Neurospora crassa OR74A: one gene and its partner. The protein of the gene in region 1 interacts with the protein of each later gene in a pairwise test. Links are inferred from orthologs where the notes say so. Each region holds a gene or a part of one and is shown on either strand. Other genes may lie near its edges. The genes, in order: rcm-1 and hda-3.

Region 1 (4,243 bases):
CCCTTGACGCATCCGAAGTGAAAATGCGAGGTAGGCGTATGCAAGGCGGCTGGGAGATTCCGTCCCGTTGTTTTCCGGTCTTGAAGGGCCAGAAGCACGGAGGAGGCTAGACTGCAGCGGAGAGTACATCATATCTTCCAACATGGATGCATATGTCCTTGCCCTACATTGCTTCTTCCGCTCATCTATCTTGCGACCAGACCACATAAACTACGAGCACTCTCGCGCGATGCCTGTGTACGTACCTACTGCTGTAGCGGATGATGGGAGAAGTGGTGAGAACCCAGACTGTAAAGCCGCAAACCTGAGTTCCAACATCAAGACGGAACATATATGATAGACGGCCTGAAGACAAGCTGGCCATAGTAGTGACCTGAGTTTCGTTCGGAAGCTCTTGGGCCTCTTCATCTCGACGGCATGTGGGAGTAGGTTGCTCTCTTGGTCTTGGACCAGGGGCACCTTCCCTTACCCAGACCCCTCACTCTACTCGAGACTGTACACTATGCTACTGCCTACAGACTTAGGTTGGCGGCAAGGACTCCAACTCGTGTTGTTTTCGATGTCTTGGAAATCATAGGTAGCTCTACCATTCTATGCCGGCTGTCTGGATACCTACCTACCATGTCTGGATAATCTCTAGGCGTGATACATATTGCCTCACCTCTGCCTCTACATTCTCATCGTGGTTCCTTGGCCTCGGCCAGGGGCAACCCAACCGCACTACGGGCAACAAGGGTCAAGAGTCCAGCTACTATGTAGTAGGTAGAGGTAGGTTCCGTTAGTTGGCTCGTGCTCGTGCTCGTCGCTCCAAGTACATCGGTACCTAGGTAGGTACACGGCACTAGGCACCCCGACCCCGGTGCAGCCAAGTGGAAGTGGACGGAAGCACCCCTGTGCCCACCTCGCCCCGCCCCAATGTACCGCAACCTGCCACGACCTGCCAGCCGTAACCGGGCTGGGCTGCCTGTGCCGCCAGGGCCTTGTGCAGCGCGTGTGGGTCACTTATCTTGGCGCGCCGTATGACATGCGGCACCAAGCGGAACCGGGAGCAAATTCCAAACTTACCTAGCCAAAAGTACGTACACGACGCCGTGGGTTAGGGGAGTTTGCAAAAGTGGTCAGAACTCCCCGTTCAGCGAATCGAGCTGCTTCCTGGCCGCCTTCCCCATTGCCTTTAGATCGCCTCTTCCCCAGCCAATTTTGCCCTTCCCCCTTCCCCTTCTTTTTCTCCCGTCTCCCGCCGCCTTCGCTGCCTGCATCGCGCACGACTCTTTCTGCGCAAACCACCACCTTGGACCTGATTCCATCCCAACTCAGCCGGTGTACCCCCTTCACACCAGCCAGCCATTGCCGCGAGCAATAATTTTCGCATTGCTCGTCTCGTCCAAATCTCCATCTCGAACAAAAAAGAGAGCACGACGTCGCCATTCCGACCTCGGTAGCTTGGGCGCATCTTGTCCAACTATAAGAAGCTGCGACAGGCTGCCGCCCTCTCGTCGCCTTCATTCGCAATCAACTTTTCTCGGTTTTTGACAATCGCGTCCGCCCAACAACACACAAGAACCGGGCGCTTCATCGTCACGACCATTGCATTGCTGACGCCGTCGCCACGTATCGTTGTGGTCCAGCCGCCCAAAGAGCAGAAGCCTAACAATTTGGTTGGTACAGTCATCGTGACTGACTGCGCATCTTGACAACGGCCCCTGACACCACCCTGCTACCTACCTAGTACCTACATACTATCCCCGTAGCGTCCCCGGGAACAGCTGCATGGGATACCAAGGCTGTATTGCTATCGCCTTGTGAAACTTTGAATTCTACCTCTACTGTTAAGTTGGGTCGGCAGCGCTACATTGGCTTCCGCCCCCGCCTCTTCCAATTTCCTATAGTCCATCGAGGAGCAACACGCCATCCACGCGCTACTCCTGCAACATCGCCCAAATGGCAAACCACCACCCTTCCCCTACGATGCAGATGCAAATGCATCACGGCCCGCCAGGGCCCCCAGGTCCACCGCCGGCGTCGATTCCTTCATGGAATCAACAGCGGCAGGCCTTTATGAGCTTGACCGAGAATGTGTGGATCGGAATCGGTATGTGCTTCCCACGCCGTTGTTGGCTGCCTCTTTAGGCTATTTTGTATGATGCTAATTTAGCAATCATGGTAGGTTCCGTGTCCGAGCTCATGGGGAACCACAACGAGGCACTAGAGGCTTATGAAAGGGCTCTTGCAGCCAACCCCAACTCTGTGACTGCTATGAATGCCGCCAGTCTCGTCCTTAGGACGCGCGAGGACTTCCCCAAGGCGTCGGAATATCTGCAGAGGATCCTAAAGATCGAGCCTGCAAACGGTGAAGCATGGGGCAGCCTCGGTAAGCAGCCCCCTATTCGCCACGTATATTTCAATAAATTCGGGTCCTAACTGTTGGTGTCTAGGACATTGCTTTCTCATGATGGAGGACCTCCAACAGGCATATGCTGCGTACCAAGCGGCCTTGGTTAACCTTCCCAACCCAAAGGTGCGTGCATTTGTACCTCTTGGGGTGCCTCTTTTCAGAATTGACAACGGTTTGGCTAACTGTCTGTTGATTGCAGGAACCGAGGCTTTGGTATGGCATAGGTATTCTTTATGATCGCTATGGCTCTTTGGACCATGCAGAGGAAGCATTCTCGCAGGTCATGGCCATGGACCCCAACTTCGACAAGGCTCATGAGATATATTTCCGTCTCGGCATAATCTACAAGCAACAGCATAAGTACCAGCAATCGCTTGATGTAAGTCGACAGCATTGTCTTGATAAGATCGGCATGAGACAGCCAGCTTACTCGTCAACAGTGCTTCAGATACATTGTCAACTCTCCTCCTACTCCTTTGACCGAAGAGGATATCTGGTTCCAGATTGGTCACGTCCATGAACAGCAAAAAGACGTAAGTCTGCTTTGCATTTTATACTTCTTTCCTCGACTCTTAATCCTGACGTTGTGGCAGTATGATGGTGCCAAGCAAGCCTACGAGCGAGTGCTGCAACGTGATCCAAAGCACGCAAAGGTCCTTCAGCAGTTGGGCTGGCTGCATCACCAGCAAAGTAATTCAGTCGCCAGCCAGGAAAAGGCAATCGAGTACCTGAATCAGTCCGTTGCAGCTGGTAAGTTTCGATGCATTTGGCTTCTTCATGCACCTATACTGACATAATCCAGACCAAACCGATGCCCAAAGCTGGTACTTGCTCGGTCGTTGTTACATGCAACTTCAAAAGTACCCTAAGGCATACGAGGCTTATCAGCAAGCTGTTTATAGGGATGGCAGGAACCCTACGTTCTGGTGCTCGATTGGTGTGTTATACTACCAGATCAACCAGTATCGTGACGCCTTGGACGCCTATTCCAGGGCCATCAGGCTCAACCCCTTCATTTCTGAAGTTTGGTATGACCTTGGCACTTTGTATGAGTCTTGCAACAACCAGATCAGCGATGCTCTGGACGCTTATCAACGTGCCGCCGAACTGGATCCCAACAACCCGCATATCAAGACCAGATTGCAGCTCCTCCGAAGTGGGCAAGCTAATGGCGGCGCACCCCCGGGGTCAGTCCCGATGCCCACTGATATCCACCCCCAGACGTATAATGCATCCGGTGCGGTTGGTCCTCCGGGCCCTCAGTGGGCGGGCTCAGGCTCAGGCCAGCCTCCTCATCAACCGCCTCAGCCGATGCACAACGGTGGCCCTGGCCCGGGCCAAGGGGCCAACTCGTGGGGTGGAAGAATTTCCGACATTAACCCTCCTCCCCAGCCGCCGAACCCATATGCCTCGGGTCAAGACCGGGAGCCCTTTCGTGGTCCCGCTCCGCCGCTTCCCAGACAGCCCAGCCCGCGACAGGAGCAGCAAATGAGGCCTTATCAGGAGGCCAGGGCGCCCGAGCCGCTCAGAAGAGGACCTACCCCTCCCCAGGCTCATTACGCCCCTCCACCCCCTCCACCTCCGCAACAACCGCACCAGCCGCACCCGCAGCAACAGCTTCAGCAAGGACCTCAACCTACTCGGGAAGGGGGTAGTGGTACTAGAGTGAGGAACCCGAACTACGCTAATCCCCAGAACGTGGTCCCTTCCAATTCTGGTCCTGGCCCAAACGGCCCTCCTCCTCCAAACGCAATGATGCATTTTAACAACAGTCCGAGGACTGATGGAAGACCACCCCACATGCACGAGAACCGCATGCCGTCTCCCAAGTCCGCCTATCCTCAGCAT
Region 2 (4,519 bases), on another chromosome or scaffold:
AGTAGTGCCTGTTCAGGCCGTGGATGAGGGCCTGGATGGAAGGCTTGTTGAGATGTCCCAAGTTGGATGTCGTCTGGCGGGGCTCCTGACCCAGCATGAGCGACTGGGGGTTGATGAGACGGAAAGCATCAATCACAACCTTGCCCTTGACGGACTGAATGGGGTCAATAACCACGGCGACCGCACGGGAGTTGAGTTGTTCGAAACTTTGTTGGGTGTTGATATCAACCGACGAAAGCCAGCAGCCAAAACCGGGATGCGAGTGGTACCAGCCAACGACGGCCTCGGGCCTGCGAAGGGAAATACATTAGTGGGTGGTGAAAGGTCAAGTTGAGCTGAGTATCCTCTCACCTTCCCGTTTGCCTGAGCATGTCCATCATGTTCATCTGGAAGACGGGGTCGACAGCCTCTACACTGACACCAGTACCGCTTTGGGGCATGGCAAACACATCGACGACGCGAACGGTAAAGTCATCGACAAACTCGCCCAGCATCAGGCCCATGACTTCCATGGGCACACCAGCGCGACCGTGGCGCAACATCTTGAGGAGGGCTAGGGAGGAAATGTAGACGGTTTCCGAGTTGTCGATGAGGTTGGTGTTGTCCTGACCAGAACCCAGCACATTAGCATCATGCCCTTGTCACCTTCACGCCAGACCAAGCAAGCCTGCGGTTCTGTTGTTCAATTTGCGAATGGGAACAAACATACGGCTCCTGGCGCAGTGGCACCGCCCATTCCCAGGCCGCCGCCCAACAAGCTGCGCATGCGATCCATCTTGAATGTGTTTGTTGGTTGGAGAGTAGTGTATTATGTTGACGTAGCTGTGTGACGGGGGTGTTGGAAATTAATATCGGCGTCGTTCCTCGGGTGTAATGACGTCGCGCAGAAGTATATGGAGGGTTGCGATGCAAACGGTGGCGGTTTCGTTGTAAAGTCGAAGTGGGATGTCGTCGATGACAAGACGGGAGACGGGGCGGTTTGTTGTTTAGGTTGGTGGGTTGAGTACCTCTCTACCTACCTACCGCGTCAGGTTGGAGCATGGAGCATGCAGCACCTATGGGGAGCTTGCCGCAGCTGGCTGGCGGCGGCGTTGACGACAAGCTGTGGCAGCCTGCAACGCCAACTGCCACAAAGTCCACTGCAGGCCAGCCCGGTGACGGAAGGTTCCCTTGAGCTGGAAGCTGTGGATTACATAATCTTATCTGGTTTGCAAATCGGCAGGCAAAGCGGTTGACTTCATAAGTATTGGCGCTTTTTTGGAAGGTTCGACGTTGCCTGCCGACAGGACGTCAGGTGCACAATCCGTTTTCTGATTGGTTACTAAAGTTATTGGAGAATGGAGAACAGCTCAATTATACCCCACTCGCCCGTTGGGGTTGCTGGTGCTTGCGCTTTCTCCCCCGCCTGTCCGCCCACGGCTTCACGCACCGACCTCAGCGTTGTGCCGTGGCTCGTACAAGCAATTCTGCCACTCAGTGACAGACACCCCGGCGTCAGGAACCGAGCTCGAACTAAACACCATCTTTCTTTTCGTTGCTGGCAAGCCATGACGATACCGCCCAGGTGATTTGCCACATCACGGGGATATTTCTATATCATACTTTGTCATTCTATCAATACCACGAAACCTCAACACGTGTTTCCCCCATTCAGCCCGGCGACCCTGAACATTTCCTTTCACGACGGGGTCCTTCCCATCCCAGCGTCTCCCGGTCAGCGATAACTTCTACATACTTGGACGTGATATCCACCACCACAACACACACACACACACCATCCAACCCACAATCCGGATTGTACCGCAATAGTCCTCCGTATCCGCCAACGCAACGCAACACAACACAACGGGCAACCCGGCAACATCTGCCCACCATGCCTTCCACATTCACCGATCCCGCCGGAGTCGCGCGTGACGAGCCGTTGTATACCGTCGTCCACAATGACAAGAAGCGGGTCGCCTACTTCTACGACTCCGACATTGGCAACTATGCCTACGTGACCGGCCATCCTATGAAGCCCCATCGTATCCGTCTTGCCCACAGTCTGGTCATGAACTACAACGTGTACAAGTTTCTCGAGGTCTACGTAAGTTTGCTGTGTTGGGGGTACTGGCCTTGGTCAACGACAAACTGACCCTCTCTGTGTTAGCGTGCAAAACCAGCCGTTACTGCCGAAATGACACAGTTTCACACCGACGAGTACATTGAGTTTTTACAAAAGGTTACCCCCGACAACATGGACGGCTTCATGCGCGAGCAGGGCAAGTACAATGTTGGCGATGACTGTCCCGTTTTCGACGGCCTGTTTGAGTTCTGCGGCATCAGTGCCGGCGGAAGTATGGAGGGTGCCGCTCGCTTGAATAGGGACAAGTGCGACATCGCCATCAACTGGGCCGGTGGTTTGCATCACGCCAAGAAGAGCGAGGCTAGCGGTTTCTGCTATGTCAATGGTATGTGGCCTTCACAATTTCCTGGAACCCGTACGACGCCACCCATGCTTACCTACTACACCGAACAGATATCGTCCTGGCTATCCTAGAGCTCCTGCGTTTCAAGAAGCGCGTTCTTTACATTGACATCGATGTGCACCACGGCGATGGTGTCGAAGAAGCCTTTTACACGACGGATCGCGTCATGACCGTATCCTTCCACAAGTACGGCGAGTACTTCCCCGGTACCGGCGAGTTGCGCGACATTGGTATCGGTTCCGGCAAGAACTATGCCGTCAACTTCCCCCTCCGCGATGGGATTGACGACACCACCTACAGCTCCATCTTCCAGCCCGTCATTAGCGCTGTCATGCAATACTTCCAACCTGAGGCTGTTGTCCTCCAATGCGGTGGTGACAGTTTGTCCGGTGATCGTCTTGGCTGCTTTAACTTGAGCATGCGTGGCCATGCCAACTGCGTTAATTACGTGCGGAGCTTTGGACTACCCACTCTGGTTCTCGGCGGAGGTGGCTACACCATGCGCAACGTCGCAAGGACTTGGGCCTACGAAACCGGCCGTTTGGTTGGTGTTGAGATGAACCCAGTCCTTCCTTACAACGAGTACTACGACGTAAGTGGATTAGTTCCATTATGGCTTGCCGCCTTGCTAACAAACTCTTAGTATTACGGTCCCGACTACGAGCTTGATGTGCGTTCTTCCAATATGGAGAACGCCAACAGCCCAGAGTACCTGGAGAAGATCAAGATATCAGTGATAGAAAACCTGAAGAAGACCGCCCCAGTTCCCTCTGTCCAGATGCAGGACGTTCCGCGTCAGGGCTTCGGTATGTCAGACGATCAGGAAGACGAGCTTGACGACATGGATGAGGACGAGAACAAGGATGTCCGGCGGACACAGCGTCAATGGGAGAAGGAGAGAGCTAGGCAAGACGAGTTTGAAGAAAGTGATGACGAGGACATGGCTCAAGCCAATGGTGTGTTCAAGCCGAACGGACCGCAGCGCCGGTCCATTCTCGACTTCAAGAACCCCAAGGCCGTGGAGGACATGGATCTTGATATTGGAGAACCAGCTCCGCCCTCGATTGCCGCCACCGCCGCCGCGGCCGCCGCTAAGCCAGCGGAGCCTACTGCTGTCGACAACGATGAGACCATGATCGATAACGACGAAGCCCAACCGGCCGCCGCTGAACCTGAAGCCGAAGCCCCCGCAACGACAGCCGCGCAGCCTGCAGTAAGCTCTGCGGCCAAAGTTGACGAAGATGGCGATGTGGATATGGGCGAGGCCGATGAGAAGCCTGCAGAACCTGAGGCGGAGATCAAGACCGAGGAAATCGAGACTGCCCCTGCTCCGGAGCCGGAGGCAGAGCGCAGGCCAAGTCCCGCCGCCGCCACTGCGGAGCCTGCTACCGAGGCAGCAGCAGCAGCAGCAGCCTCTCCCAAGGCCGCCTCGCCGGTACCAGACGCCAACACTGAGAAGCCAGTGGCAGAAGAGCCAAGCAAGGTTGCCGAGGAGGCATCCGACAAGGCACCGGCAGCAACAACAGATGACAAGGAAAAGGAGGCCGATAAGCCTCAAGAATAGGACGCAACCCCCCGAACAAACACTCAGTACGTCTGATAGCTCGGACTAATCGGGCCCTGAGTACGTCGGCAAATTTCAGTTGTGTTATCCCATGAGCATGATTGGCATTGGCGTTTGGGGATTTAGGGGTGTTGTGACGAGGAAAATGTTGTTTTCAATGATTCCCCCACATTACATCCAGGCTCTTTGTTGTTTGTGTTTTTTCTTTCTTTTTTTTTCTTTTTTTTTTTTTCCTTTTCTTTTCTTTTTCCATGTTTCGGAAAAGTTTCTACAAGTTAAGCGTCTAATAAAGGTGACTTTAGCTAAACATGGCTTGCTGATATGTGATTGTGGTTTGGAAGCCAGGGATGTTCACTAAGTGGTGAACGCTTGATTAAACTTGTGCCACTTCCCTCACCCTCGTCTCCTGAAGAGCTTGATTGATCCTGGATCGCCAAAGATGCCCCGGCCTCCACTTCAGACATCGCGTTGTATCATGCGGGGTTGC

Evidence for each region.
Region 2: the proteins of rcm-1 (region 1) and hda-3 interact in binary tests that used the Saccharomyces cerevisiae proteins (3 or more experiments, as listed by UniProt). The link is inferred for Neurospora crassa OR74A from reciprocal best matches to the Saccharomyces cerevisiae genes CYC8 and RPD3.

What each region holds. Positions count from the first base shown.
Region 1 is NC_026502.1:1,788,747-1,792,989, reverse strand, and holds the start of rcm-1 (RCM-1, variant), read left to right. Parts: upstream 1-1,181; 5' UTR 1,182-1,658; exon of another isoform or gene 1,659-1,729; 5' UTR 1,730-1,941; coding exon 1,942-2,092; intron 2,093-2,167; coding exon 2,168-2,371; intron 2,372-2,435; coding exon 2,436-2,518; intron 2,519-2,594; coding exon 2,595-2,774; intron 2,775-2,835; coding exon 2,836-2,928; intron 2,929-2,988; coding exon 2,989-3,145; intron 3,146-3,197; coding exon 3,198-4,243. UniProt on the Saccharomyces cerevisiae protein: Acts as a component of the CYC8-TUP1 corepressor complex which is involved in the repression of many genes in a wide variety of physiological processes including heme-regulated and catabolite repressed genes.
Region 2 is NC_026501.1:7,046,227-7,050,745, reverse strand, and holds the start of hda-3 (histone deacetylase RPD3), read left to right. Parts: upstream 1-1,429; 5' UTR 1,430-1,873; coding exon 1,874-2,086; intron 2,087-2,149; coding exon 2,150-2,450; intron 2,451-2,518; coding exon 2,519-3,060; intron 3,061-3,111; coding exon 3,112-4,032; 3' UTR 4,033-4,519. Other genes in the region: rpn-11 (26S proteasome regulatory subunit RPN11), read right to left, coding at 1-290, 352-605, 710-775. UniProt on the Saccharomyces cerevisiae protein: Catalytic component of the RPD3 histone deacetylase (HDAC) complexes RPD3C(L) and RPD3C(S) responsible for the deacetylation of lysine residues on the N-terminal part of the core histones (H2A, H2B, H3 and H4).